Arabidopsis thaliana: one gene and its partner. The protein of the gene in region 2 interacts with the protein of the main gene of each other region in a biochemical or structural test. Each region holds a gene or a part of one and is shown on either strand. Other genes may lie near its edges.

Evidence for each region.
Region 1: the proteins of BIR1 (region 2) and BON1 form a complex in vitro, tested with the Arabidopsis thaliana proteins (one study listed by BioGRID).

The regions. Positions count from the first base shown.
Region 1 is NC_003076.8:24,855,047-24,861,443, forward strand, and holds BON1 (Calcium-dependent phospholipid-binding Copine family protein), read right to left. Parts: upstream 4,296-6,397; 5' UTR 4,253-4,295; intron 4,227-4,252; exon of another isoform or gene 4,149-4,226; coding exon of another isoform or gene 4,105-4,148; coding exon 3,952-4,104; intron 3,789-3,951; coding exon 3,741-3,788; intron 3,655-3,740; coding exon 3,506-3,654; intron 3,424-3,505; coding exon 3,375-3,423; intron 3,301-3,374; coding exon 3,244-3,300; intron 3,103-3,243; coding exon 2,917-3,102; intron 2,824-2,916; coding exon 2,689-2,823; intron 2,580-2,688; coding exon 2,518-2,579; intron 2,427-2,517; coding exon 2,333-2,426; intron 2,251-2,332; coding exon 2,136-2,250; intron 2,013-2,135; coding exon 1,936-2,012; intron 1,852-1,935; coding exon 1,714-1,851; intron 1,616-1,713; coding exon 1,451-1,615; intron 1,364-1,450; coding exon 1,250-1,363; intron 1,158-1,249; coding exon 1,061-1,157; intron 960-1,060; coding exon 862-959; 3' UTR 615-861; downstream 1-614. Other genes in the region: AT5G61910 (DCD (Development and Cell Death) domain protein), read right to left, coding at 862-959, 1,061-1,157, 1,250-1,363, 1,451-1,615, 1,714-1,851, 1,936-2,012, 2,136-2,250, 2,333-2,426 and 11 more. UniProt on the Arabidopsis thaliana protein: Negative regulator of cell death and defense responses. Negative regulator of several R genes, including SNC1. May have effects in promoting growth and development.
Region 2 is NC_003076.8:19,603,374-19,608,971, forward strand, and holds BIR1 (BAK1-interacting receptor-like kinase 1), read right to left. Parts: upstream 3,775-5,598; 5' UTR 3,375-3,774; intron 3,246-3,374; 5' UTR 3,160-3,245; coding exon 2,320-3,159; intron 2,234-2,319; coding exon 1,211-2,233; 3' UTR 716-1,210; downstream 1-715. Other genes in the region: TGG3 (thioglucoside glucosidase 3), read right to left, coding at 13-74, 183-239, 363-510.

The DNA of each region.
Region 1 (6,397 bases), 5.3 Mb from region 2:
TGTAATCCACAGCCAGTTTGACTAACTTGATCGATCATGTGTGTACTGCGTTGGTGTTAGGTTCAACTACCACTTCCCTAACCAGCTGTTTATTTATGTTTATGATCAAAATTTCTCTAAACTGTAGCTTTACTGTTAAATGTATTTGGTCTTCACTTTGGACACCCTCATCTAAATCTTAGATCACATGTGATACCTAACTATTCATTTATTTGACGGAAAATTTATAGTGTGATCAATAGCCATTTGTTCACGTTTTCAACATTTTGATAACATAATTTTATTATTTTCAATTATCCGCAAATAATGCAATATTCATTAAGAAAAAAAAATCATTGTTTTAGTTTTTAAGAAATGATTCTGATATATATGATACACATGTTTAAAAATATATTAAATTAACAAAATAACAACTATAAAAAAAAAATCTACAAAAAATTGTTTTTGGGAATTCTATGGTTATTATCAGTCTCTTACATAATTGATATAACAGTCTTTACCTTTTACTTTTTGGACACTTTCTCCATATGTCAAATCATTAGTTGAAAATGCAAAACAATATTCATCTGTAACTTGAATGTTTTTTTTTTTGTTGGACGTTCACTATTCTCTATCAATAGAAGAAATTAAGCTGCACAAAACAGATATCTTCAAATTCCAAGTATTGATGTAAAAGAAATCAAGACAAATGTGTACATCAGCCTCTTCATTCGAAACTTACATCCCACATTCAGACATTTTTATTATAAAAATGGAAAAAGCTTATGTAATCGCGCAAAACGACAGCGATTTTTAACCGCCGCAGTGGTTTATGTAATGTATAATATGTACACACTTCATTTACACACGAGACGAGATCATTCATGGAGGAATCGGTTTCATATTACGGATTCTCATATACGTCAAAAACTGCGAAGGCAATTCTGCTAGAAGCGCTTGTACCACTGAGATCTCTCCATCTACAAAACCCACACACAACACATTAAAACTCACCAAACCAAGAACTAGCGTTCTCATGCGTTTCCCTAAAGTTTCACTCTAAGAATCAAATAAAACTCACATTGGACATCTCGTAGTGCCACAAACTGAACAATGTCTCGTGAAGCCAATCGCCCGCTCGAACTCTCCAATCTTTCTCCTTTATCTGCGTCTAGTATCTAAAAACCCCCACCAAAACAAAAAAAAAGTACAGTTTACACAAGATCATATGTAGTTGTAAATCTTAAATGTCTTATTTTTTATTTGTTACCTCCATCTCTTTAAAATCAGCTCCTCCAACTCCTACAATGAGGATTGATAAGGGCAAATCCGATGCACTGACTAATGCGTCTTTTGTTTCTTGAAGATCAGTTATAACACCATCCTGAAACAAGAGTTTATGATTTATGTAAACAATGTTTGATTTGTTATTTTATGTGATCTTGGCTTTTCTTTTTATATATATACTCACTGTTATGATCAGTAAGACGTAATATTTCCGTGAACCTTGAGCTAGCGACGCGCTGGCGATCATTGCAGCAGCGTTGATCACTGGACCAAAAAGGGTAGGCCCTGCAAGAGAGACGTTGAAAAGGGCACTGGTGTATGAAGTCATGATTCCTTGAATCCCATCCACCTGAGAGAGAGAGAGAGAAAAAAAAAAGATACTTTTGATGTGTCAATCCAAAAACATCAAAATTTAGTCTTAAAGACCAGCGAGTCGAGTTTGTTTACCTCAGAGTATGAACTGCTTCCATTTAGATTAAAGCAATGTGAAACTGGAGCGTCGATTGGACGAGCTCCGAATCCCCAGGCAGGGAAACGTTTGTCTGAGTCATAAAACTGCAACACTTCTCCAACATCCATTATTGCCTGAGTTAAAAGAAGAGATCATGAAGGTTTGTTAGTCACAGTCGATGCTAGTTACAAGAAAATGGAATAACACTGAGTCCTCACTCTCTGGTAGGCATTTAATCGTCCAGAAGGATCAATGTAGTGCAAAGAATCAGGGAGGCGGGGATTTCCATTTGAAGCTGAAGGACAAAAGAAATGTAGAGATGTTTAGATTATATCCTTTTTGCATGATGTATACGTAACAACAACATTACATACCCAATCAAAGTTTTTAGGATTTTCCACAGTGGTGCAATACATACCTGTGAAATCGATTGCTACCATAAAGTTTAACTCAAATCCAGATGCCAAGTACTCTAGGAATGTGTGGTGGACAGTCTCGGTAAACTTGTCCACAAAAAGTTGGCTCTTTAACACCTAAAATGACCATAAATGGTATTAGATAGCTTATTGAAAAAGGCATGAAAATGTTAGGAGACCTTTTCGTATTGGTTTATACCTTGTTTTGTCCAGCACCAGTAGGCAAAGAAAAATTGATTCCTTGGCCCGCCAAATGAAGTTTTTCTAAGTCTGAAAGCGATTTCTGAACTTTCCTGACCACCCAAAATAAACGAGTAATTATGTCAGCTAACAGCTAAAGTCACTCCAAAAAGAAGATGGACTGAGCTCTAAGCTGTTGATTACCCAATCAGACTGTGTTTGCCATTGGAGTTAAAGTCTGAGCATTCTATTATCACTGGACTGTCCTGCATTATTACATTCTATGAATCAACTTGCATCTCGAACAGAGAAACATACTTTCTAATCATTCAGTTACATATTACTGGAAGCTCACATATACGAAATCTCCCGTACCTTACTTCCCACTTGTTGAACACTAAGAAAGACTGGCTTCCAAATAGGGTTAAGATCATTCTTCCGGACTTCAGTTTTAGACACGGGAATTGGAGTTCCATGCTCTACAATCTTTGATACCACCAAAAAGGGGTCCTAAAGTTGAGCCACAACAAAAAAAAAGTGTTATATTGATGTCAGAACTAGAATTTTATTAAAATGGTAAAGAGAATAAACAACAAAACTTACACTTTTTGAAAAAAGATCCTTAGATTCCAAATTCGAACATCTAAATACTATCTCTGTTGAAATCTTAGAAGCAAGGGACTCCTCAGCATGGATGATAAGCTTTCCGTGGTGAGGCTGAGCCTGTGGAGCAAAGCCATCTTTGCGCTTGAGTTCTAATGTGCTCGTCCTAGTTGATTTTGTGATTATCTGCGTGGTTGAAAAGTTAAATATAAAGTATTCTCTCTCTCTCTCTCTTATAAGCTAGGCAATAAAACAAAATTTCTGATGTGCCTCTCAGAGAACCAGCAAAAACAAGTGCACATATATTGTCAATGTCAAAAATGATACCTCAGACAATGCACATGTTGCCTCACCAAGAAACTGCTGTTCGTCAAGCTTAAGCATCTGAAAAGTATTAACATATTGAGAAAAGTGAACATCAGATCAAATGAAAATGCAGGCAGTAAATAAACAATTACCTCCTCTCTTGAATTTTGAAATTTGGTGTCAACATCATACACACGAAACCTGAGTATAAAGAAACCAACACAAAGAGTCAGGTAAAGGTTCATCTCTTTCCTCAAGTCACACAAGATAATAAGAAACTTACACCAATGTCTGCACAGTCTCGAAATGATAAGCGACTATAAATTTCTTAATCCATTTCGGAGCTAAAGAGTTCAAAACAACTTCACTGCGGAAAACTTCTGAAAGTGTTGCATCTTTTTCTTTTTGATATACAACAACCATAGGATCACTCTGCAAAAAAACAAAAAACAAAAAGTTTGTCATTAACTAAAATGACCAGCTATGAAGACTAATTCAATTTTGAATAACAAAGTAACCTTGGAGAGCACGTCGCGGTCTCGCAAATTCGAAGCTGAAAACGATAGCTGCATCAACAAAAAACAGTATCAAACATGAATCCTCAGAATATACAGGGAAAATCGAATTTCGCAGTTTTCTTCTTTCAAACGAAGCACACACATATCATTGTTAAACGTTTTTTGGCGGAAGTAGAGAAAAAACACGAGAGATAGATGATAGTGAAGGAACCTCTATCTGCGAGAAGAGTCCGTTGAAACCTTTGGACTTGAGATAGTAATCAAGGGCGTCGTTAGTCGCACCGAGAGCGGCGGAGGAACCACTTCCACCAACGCCGGCTGTAGCACCAGCACCGGAGGCGACATCGGAGCAACAATTCCCCATAATTTTTGATTTCCCAACAAAAAAAACTGCGGATTCAAAAGTACCTGGATCGAACAACAGAGACAAACATTTTTTTGTGAGGAATTTCGGAAGAAGAAGAAGATTCAGAAGAAAATGATAATCTGGGAGAGCAGTAAATGGGACCCACTTGTCTAAGTCGCGCTTTTTCTTTTCTTTTAATTGACTCGCTCTGTTTTACAGCGTCTCCTTCTTATATAGGTTTTTTTTGTTTGTTTTCATTTGATTAATATTGACTTACGAAATATCCAAGAAACGTTAAGCTGTTTTCTGAGAAATTCGCTCTCTTTTTTTTTTTTGTATTTATTGTAGTAAACGACGTGTTGGTCAATATCAGATTAACCTCAGACATATTTAATTAGAGCAATTAACTTCTGTGACATAATCTTTCCAGCTTACAATATCAGAATATTGTTATCGATTATAATTGTTATATCAAATACATATTATCTATGAAATCCTTTATAATATTTTATATGACAAACAGTTGGTCTTTAATAATTTTATTTGCAATGCACTAATAGTATATATATAATTCTTTTTGCCAACTGGATCTGTGATGCTTTTAGCGAAGAATTGTAATAATTTTTTTATTATTATTATTTACATGAAATTTGAGAAATTTTCAGACGAGTACAAGTCGTTGTTGCTATGGGGACATAAAGTGAGCAATAGGAAATAGTGAGAGAGTTTCACGTGAGAACATTTTACAAAGATAATTAGTAGTTTATTACCATGGAGGTCATACTTTGTTTATCTTTAACACAAATCGTAAGGTTCACACAACTCAGAAATTTTGTAGAAAAAAATCCCACAGATCATATCAGTAAATGATGATAGATGGGGACTATAACTTTCAAAAAGTGGATAAAGATAATATAATAGACATCTATTGAAAGAAGCCAACGTTAACTCCAAATTTATCAGGAAAATTTGCATTTTTCAATTCCAATTAAAAAGACCTCGAGACAATTCAGAGAGTTGGATCTGATCATGTTTTTCCCAATTTCAGTATTTTTTCCTTCGTCAATAATATTTTGATGATCTGTGACACAACCAACAAAGCTGTAAACATACGGGACCCTTGACCCAAAAAAAAAGAAACAAGAGGGCAAGACCAGAGCCTTAAGTAAATTCTGTAGCAAACAAAACAAAGTAGGTGGAAAGAGTGAGATAGGTGTCTTTTAAAATCTTTTTTATTGGAGAAGAAAGAAATAGATAAAAAGTTTTTTTGAAAGAGAAAGAGAAAAAACAAAGAACATGTGAATTGCAGTGCAAGTGCTCAAACATACATAGTGGGAGACTTAGGAGTCTTTTCTTTTCTTTTTTGTCTACCAATAGATATGGCTTAGGGTTTAGGCCACTTAATCTTAGAGCCAATAAGCATATTCTTGGTCCCTAGGTTTCGTTTGAGAGAGTGTTTAAGATGAACCTTTTTGAAGGTAGTATTCTTAATAGCAAATCCCAAGTATTAAACATGACCATACTAAAAGAAATGTTTTAGCATAAGTAATGATAACAGAGTTATAATATGTTTTATTAACTTTAAATCCCAATCAGAATTGCATTTCAGATTGCACTCCTGAAACGGGACTTAAAGAAGTTTTGATGGTTTGAGGAATTTCCTCATGCGCAGCTCAGAAATGAATATGATCAAACCGTAACATAGAACTTTTAAACTTACAGTAAACGGAGCTGGAGACTCTAGTTTTATGTCCTTGACCTTCTTTTCCACTGAGTGCACCAGTTCGAGTCCATGCTTCCGCACCCATCACGCACAAGTTTCTCAGATCCTGCAATACCAATGCAAATAGGTTTTCAGCAAATCGTTTCTCACCTGAACCGAAACAATGCTTTAAATACACGAGACTTAACAGAATCCTCTTTGGCATACCAGAGTAGCAACACTTTGCTTTAACGTTTTAAGATGTTTGATAATACGTTGTGGTTGCATCTGCTGTCTGAGGGTAATAAGACTGATGCACTGCATTCCAATCTCCTGTTGCAGAATATGCCTGGTTTGCAGCATTACAATCAGTTGTCCCAGGAGCCCTTGGTACAGAACCTTGCGTCACACCTTGTTGACTGTATACAACAGCGTGAGCATGGTATTGCGGCATGTAGCCAACAGCTTGAGCATGTGGTTGCATTGTGTATTCAACAGCTTGAGCATGTGGTTGCAAAGCATACCCAGTTGCGGCAGCATGGGGTTGCTGAGCGTACCCGGTAGCTGCAGCATGGAGTTGCAGAGCATACCCAGTAGCTACAGCATGGA
Region 2 (5,598 bases):
ACACGTATTAACCTGCCAGTGCTCATATGATCCACAAGTGCTGTCTCCATTCCCTAAATCGGGTCCTCCTTTCTCTGGTAGCGTACAAAGACATTACTATGAATGTATAGAGAGATAACGTACCGACACTTCTCTCGTATAAATATGTAAGCCTTTATATATCAACCATGCAAACGACAAACCTGGATATCGGTGAGTGAAGCCATCCCAAACGTTAAGGCCACGGCCTTTTCCACCTTCTATCTGAAGTGAAACAAAACAACCATGCAACGTTGGAATTTAGTGTTAGTGAATTGTTTTTTACGTCAAAATTGGGAGAATATGTGATCTGTTGCATGCCTGGTAAGCAGAAGATGCAACACCGAAGATGAAGTCATCATCGAAATGTTTTCTGTTGAAACGATCAGTTTGGTTACATGTGAATGGCTTGGTCTCTTCGCACGTAATCTCTTCAGCTTTGCAAGTCTCCACTGCTAATAGAAGAACTAAGCCGAGTGCACGAAACTTCATGGTTAATCGGTACATGTATGTTTTCATTCAGCTGCATGGAAACCTAATGCGGTCTCAATTAAACTTTAAAAGAAGAAGTTTTTGTAGAAAATTTAATCTTTGCTTTGTATATTTGTTTTGGTGTCCTTAAATAGAAATTTTACATCAAGGAGCTAACGAAATGGAATCATGGATTCCTATAAAATTGGAAGTGAAAAGGTGATGTAAGAACACTTGTTAATTCTTCTATTATTGTCGACGAGAATTAAGCAAAAAAAAAAGAAAACCAAGAATTGACTAAGTCTAGTTATTTTGAATTTGGTATTCTTGACCCAATCATTCGTCATTGCAATATATTTGTGGTTTGTCCAATTTCGGACAGAGTTTCGTTGAAATCTCCATAGTCAGTGGGTCCAAATCGAGCACATAGTTAGTCTTCAAAGATATCCCACGTGATGACTGTATTCTCCTCAACCAAATTAGTGCTGCAAAATATAAGGCAGCAAAGACGTAGTGGCAAAACCAAAACAGTGACTGTACCACACACCCAAAGCTTAGTACATAGTAATAAGAGAGTGCATCTAACAATATATCATATTACAACACACCATCGACGACGAGAACCCAAAAATAAAATAAAAACAATACTTATACATTATATATATCTTTGGACTGCTACGACTAGAGATGTTTGTTTCACAATTCTTACCCTTCCTCTTGATCAACGAGCAACTATGAGCTCTTCAATGAAATCGCCTTCACCTGATTCAGATGGGATTAAGATATCATCATCGGCGGTGAAGTTGTAGCTCTCTCCAATGGCTCTTAGAAGCTGATAAACTTCAAACATGGTTGGCCTCTGCTTTGCTATTTCCGGTAGAACGCAGTTGCATGCTACTTTGAGTACTTTGAAGATTTCATCATCCACACCGTTCCCAAGTAAGGACCTGTCGATTGCTTCCTGCAGTTTTGATTCACTTGATAGCTTTGTAATCCATTCCACGAGGTTACCCTTGAAGTTTTCTTCCTCAGCTTTTTCTTCAGATACTTTTGTTACACTCGTTGCTTTTTGGCCCGTTACTAGCTCTAGAAGCACAACACCGAAGCTGTAGACATCTCCTTTTGGAGTTGCAACCATGGTTCTTGAATACTCGGGAGCAACATAACCGAAATCCCCAAATTCTCCATTGACGAATGTGCTTAAATGGGTATCAATTGGGTTCATCAGCCTAGCTAGACCGAAATCCGAGATCTTTGGCTCAAACTCTGCAGTCAACAATATGCATTTCGAGCTTATGTTGCGATGGATGATTCTCGGGTTGCAGCTATGATGAAGCCATGCCAATCCTTTTGCCGTCCCAATCGCGATTTTCAGCCTTGAAGGCCAATCCAAGGGCTTGAAGGATTCTTCATCTGCAGGATGTAACTGATCATAAAGGTAACCGTTTGCCATGTACTCATACATTAGAAGCCTCTCCTTATTGGCAACACAATAGCCCAAGAGAGGGACTAAGTTTCTGTTTTTAACAGAGCCCAAAGTCTTCATCTCTGCATCAAACTCTTTCTCAGAGCGTTGAGAATCCTGCAACCTCTTTATCATAAGTAGAGACCCGTCTTCAAGCCTACCTTTGTACATAGTTCCTGTTCTTCCTGTTGCAATGATATTATCTTTCTTGAATTCCTCTGTTGCCTTCATAAGATCGCTTAATTTCATCTTTGAAACCGATTTCTTAAACATGAAAACCTGAACATTCACAAAAGCACCAAACATATATCATAAATTTAGAACATAACCACATACAGCAAAATTCAAATCAATGATGTTTTTACCTTAACACCTTTCTGTCCTTTCAAGCTCTTTGCCCATCTGTTTCCTTCAGGATCATCCTGCTTCTTCCGAACAGCACCCAATTTACGGAAATAGAAGAACAAAACAACCCCAACGACTAATGCTGCTGCAGTCAGTCCACCAACTGCCGCTATAATAACAACTTTACCACGAGAGCTAGAAGCACTCTTACAGTCATCTAGAGGCTTACCACACAGATCCAGGTTATTAGCAAACAATTCCTGCTTAAACTGCAAGGTTTGGTTGAAATTTGGGATAGGACCAACGAGACGATTGTCAGACACAGAGAATGTTTTGAGCCGTCCAAGTTGCGCTAGCTGGGGAGGAAGAGTACCCGTGAACTGGTTATGCTGAAGCATAAGAGTGTTCAAAAAGGTAATGTTGGAGATCAACATAGGGATTTCACCAGAGAAGCTATTGTAGGAGAGGTCTAGAATCGTAACAAGTGGAATCAAGGTGCTAATGTTGGCTGGTAAAGGTCCAGAGAAGTTGTTTCTAGAAAGATCTAAACCAGTGAGATCAGCACATAGCTTAACCGCAGGAGGAAACACTCCTCTAAGACCATAACCAGATAGCTTAATACTCAAAACCCTATTCTCATCATCATGCCAACAAGTCACACCACTGAACTTGCAGATATAACCAGCAGTCTCGTTGCCAAAAACCCAAGTCGATAAATATCTATTTGGATCCTCTACTTGAGATTTAAAGGTCCTTAAGCAATCTATGTTGGCCTGATCCGCGTCAACCAAGCTCGAGAGTAGCAGCAAACAGAGACAATTATAGAGCCAGATTACAAAAACTAACCTACCCATCATCATAAATCCACTAAATTCCACAAAATGTGTAAAATCTCTATGAACTACAGCAACAAAATCAAGGGTTCTCTTCGATGAGCATCAAAATCCTGTAAGCAAATAAAAAAAAATCAAAACTTTATTAGCAACAACGAAAATTGGATTATCGCCAGCGAATCAAAAAGACTAAAGCGATCTTTAAAATTGAAGTTGACTTAGAAAAATTTACAACAACTTACGAATCAAAATCAGAAACACAAAACGAAAGCTTTGGTCTTTGTAGTCGTCGTTGTCGTGGTGGTGGTGCTCTTGTTCATAAGTGTTGAAGAGCACAATGAAGAAGGAGAAGAAAATCGCATCTGTGGCTAAGTGGTTATGAATGATGATGATGATGATGATGAAGAAAGGAGTTGGGAATAATTTAATAAAGGAGTCGTCTTTGTGAGTGAGTTGACTGGGACTTTGGATCGTCGTCGTCGTCTAGTGAAAGTTCGTGAAGAATGGGGCAAAGAAAAGAGAGACACTGATGATGAGAACGCAATGACTCCCAACAAAAACCAAATCGGTCTTTGCGCGTTAAATGTTTTTTTTTTCTTTCTTCTCTTTTTGACTTTTCAACATCATCATATATATTATCTTGTTTGTTAGGAGATGGACAAATTTTTCTTCCATTTGGTATTTTTCGCTTTTCATTCGTTTTTAGATAATTCTGGATATTTTGTAAATGGTTTTGGTGTTTTGACCAAATCAAAGAATGGAATATGACATTTACAAGAAATGTTTTCTTGGTATTAGTTTTTGACAAATACCAATGCATAATAATTTGTATCACAAAAATTGAATATCATGTCACATATTTAAATACTTATTAGGAGTAGTACTTATTTTGTTGTTGTTGGAATCTTTAAATTATGGGTTGACAGTTATATATATATATATATATATAAAAAGCTTGTTCATTTAGCAGATGTACCCGCCAACCACGGTTCAGCAAACACCCCAAAATGTTAATTCGTGTTGTTTATGTATTGTCAGTTTGTAACATAACGATTTTAGAAATTTTACAGAGTGTTTATATACAGAGACTCTAATACCATGTAGACTAAGAGTATATCGAATATATGAAACAAGATGATTACAGAGTGTTTATATACAAAGACTAGAAAGCTACTGAAGGAAACTTAATATTGTATACAATGATTATGAGCAATTAACGTGATTGACGATATTGATTCTCTTCATTATCTTGATTGATATGATTATCCTTGATAGTCAGTTTGTAACATAACGATTTTAGAGAGGAGATAAACCACGAATCACAACCTCTAGTCTCTCCCAAGCCAAATCCGCCATTCGTGACCTGAACCAACTTCGAAATTCATTTGATATTTGTAATGTTTTGTACCAAATCATTCACCATATATAATACAATTGTAGAATTCCAACAATTTGGGAAGTTGTAAGATTTATTTACTCTTGGTTTAGTCTTTCCTCTTTGACAAATACCAATGTATAACCAAACTATATTTTCATTGTTGCTCTTATTAAGAAAACAATCATATATAAATTTTGCATTCAAAAAAATTAGACACATAGTTTCATCCTTGGAGACAATTTATATGATCGAAACATCCGATGAAGAATATCAGTCTATGAAAGATTGTGCAATCTAGTTTTTTCCCCATTATAACATAGCCTTAAGCATGAAGCCAAAGCTTCGTCAACAGGTTAAAAAGATTGGGTGTTTGGTAAAAAAAGTTAAGGAATTTAAAGAGTGATTGATACACATAGATGGTGAATATACCAATTAATAGAAAAAAAGGAGGAAAGAGTAAATTACAAGTTCCCGGCAGTTTCAGACAAACTCACGTGACGCAAACTTTAAAGGGTTTGACTAGAGCCACATAAGCTGTCTGGTCCGAACCAGATATGATAGTGAAGAACGAGCCATTAAACCACACCAGTCTCTCTCACGTGCCAACTAAGTAAAATTGGGTGTGCTTAATAAAGTGTCTGTTATAAATCGCTTTGCTTCCTTTTATTTTGCCTCTCTTCTACTTTCCTCTTTCCTTTTTAGGGATTTCACTTTCCTCTTCTCTCTCTCTCTCTCTCTGCCTAACCTCGATTTCTCTCGATCGCTCTTCACCATGGATCTACGATCATGTGGTCCTTCTTGAAGTTTTTTGATCTCTTCTTCTTACGGGTTTTTACTTCGTTTGATTTTCCTGGTAAAGTTGCTTTTTTTTTATCTTCTCTTGAGGTATATACTTTTTTTTTGTTTTGAGTTCATGTTCGTGTTCTCTTCACTGTAGCTAGGGTTTGTTGATTTCTCCACAATATAGCTCAAAATTTCTGCTATGACCTTGAATTTTGGTCGTGAAGTTTGTTTATGTGATGGATTAAGCTGGGATTTCATAGAATCACTGAATCAGCTTGCTTGTTTCTACTCTCATTTCGTCATCT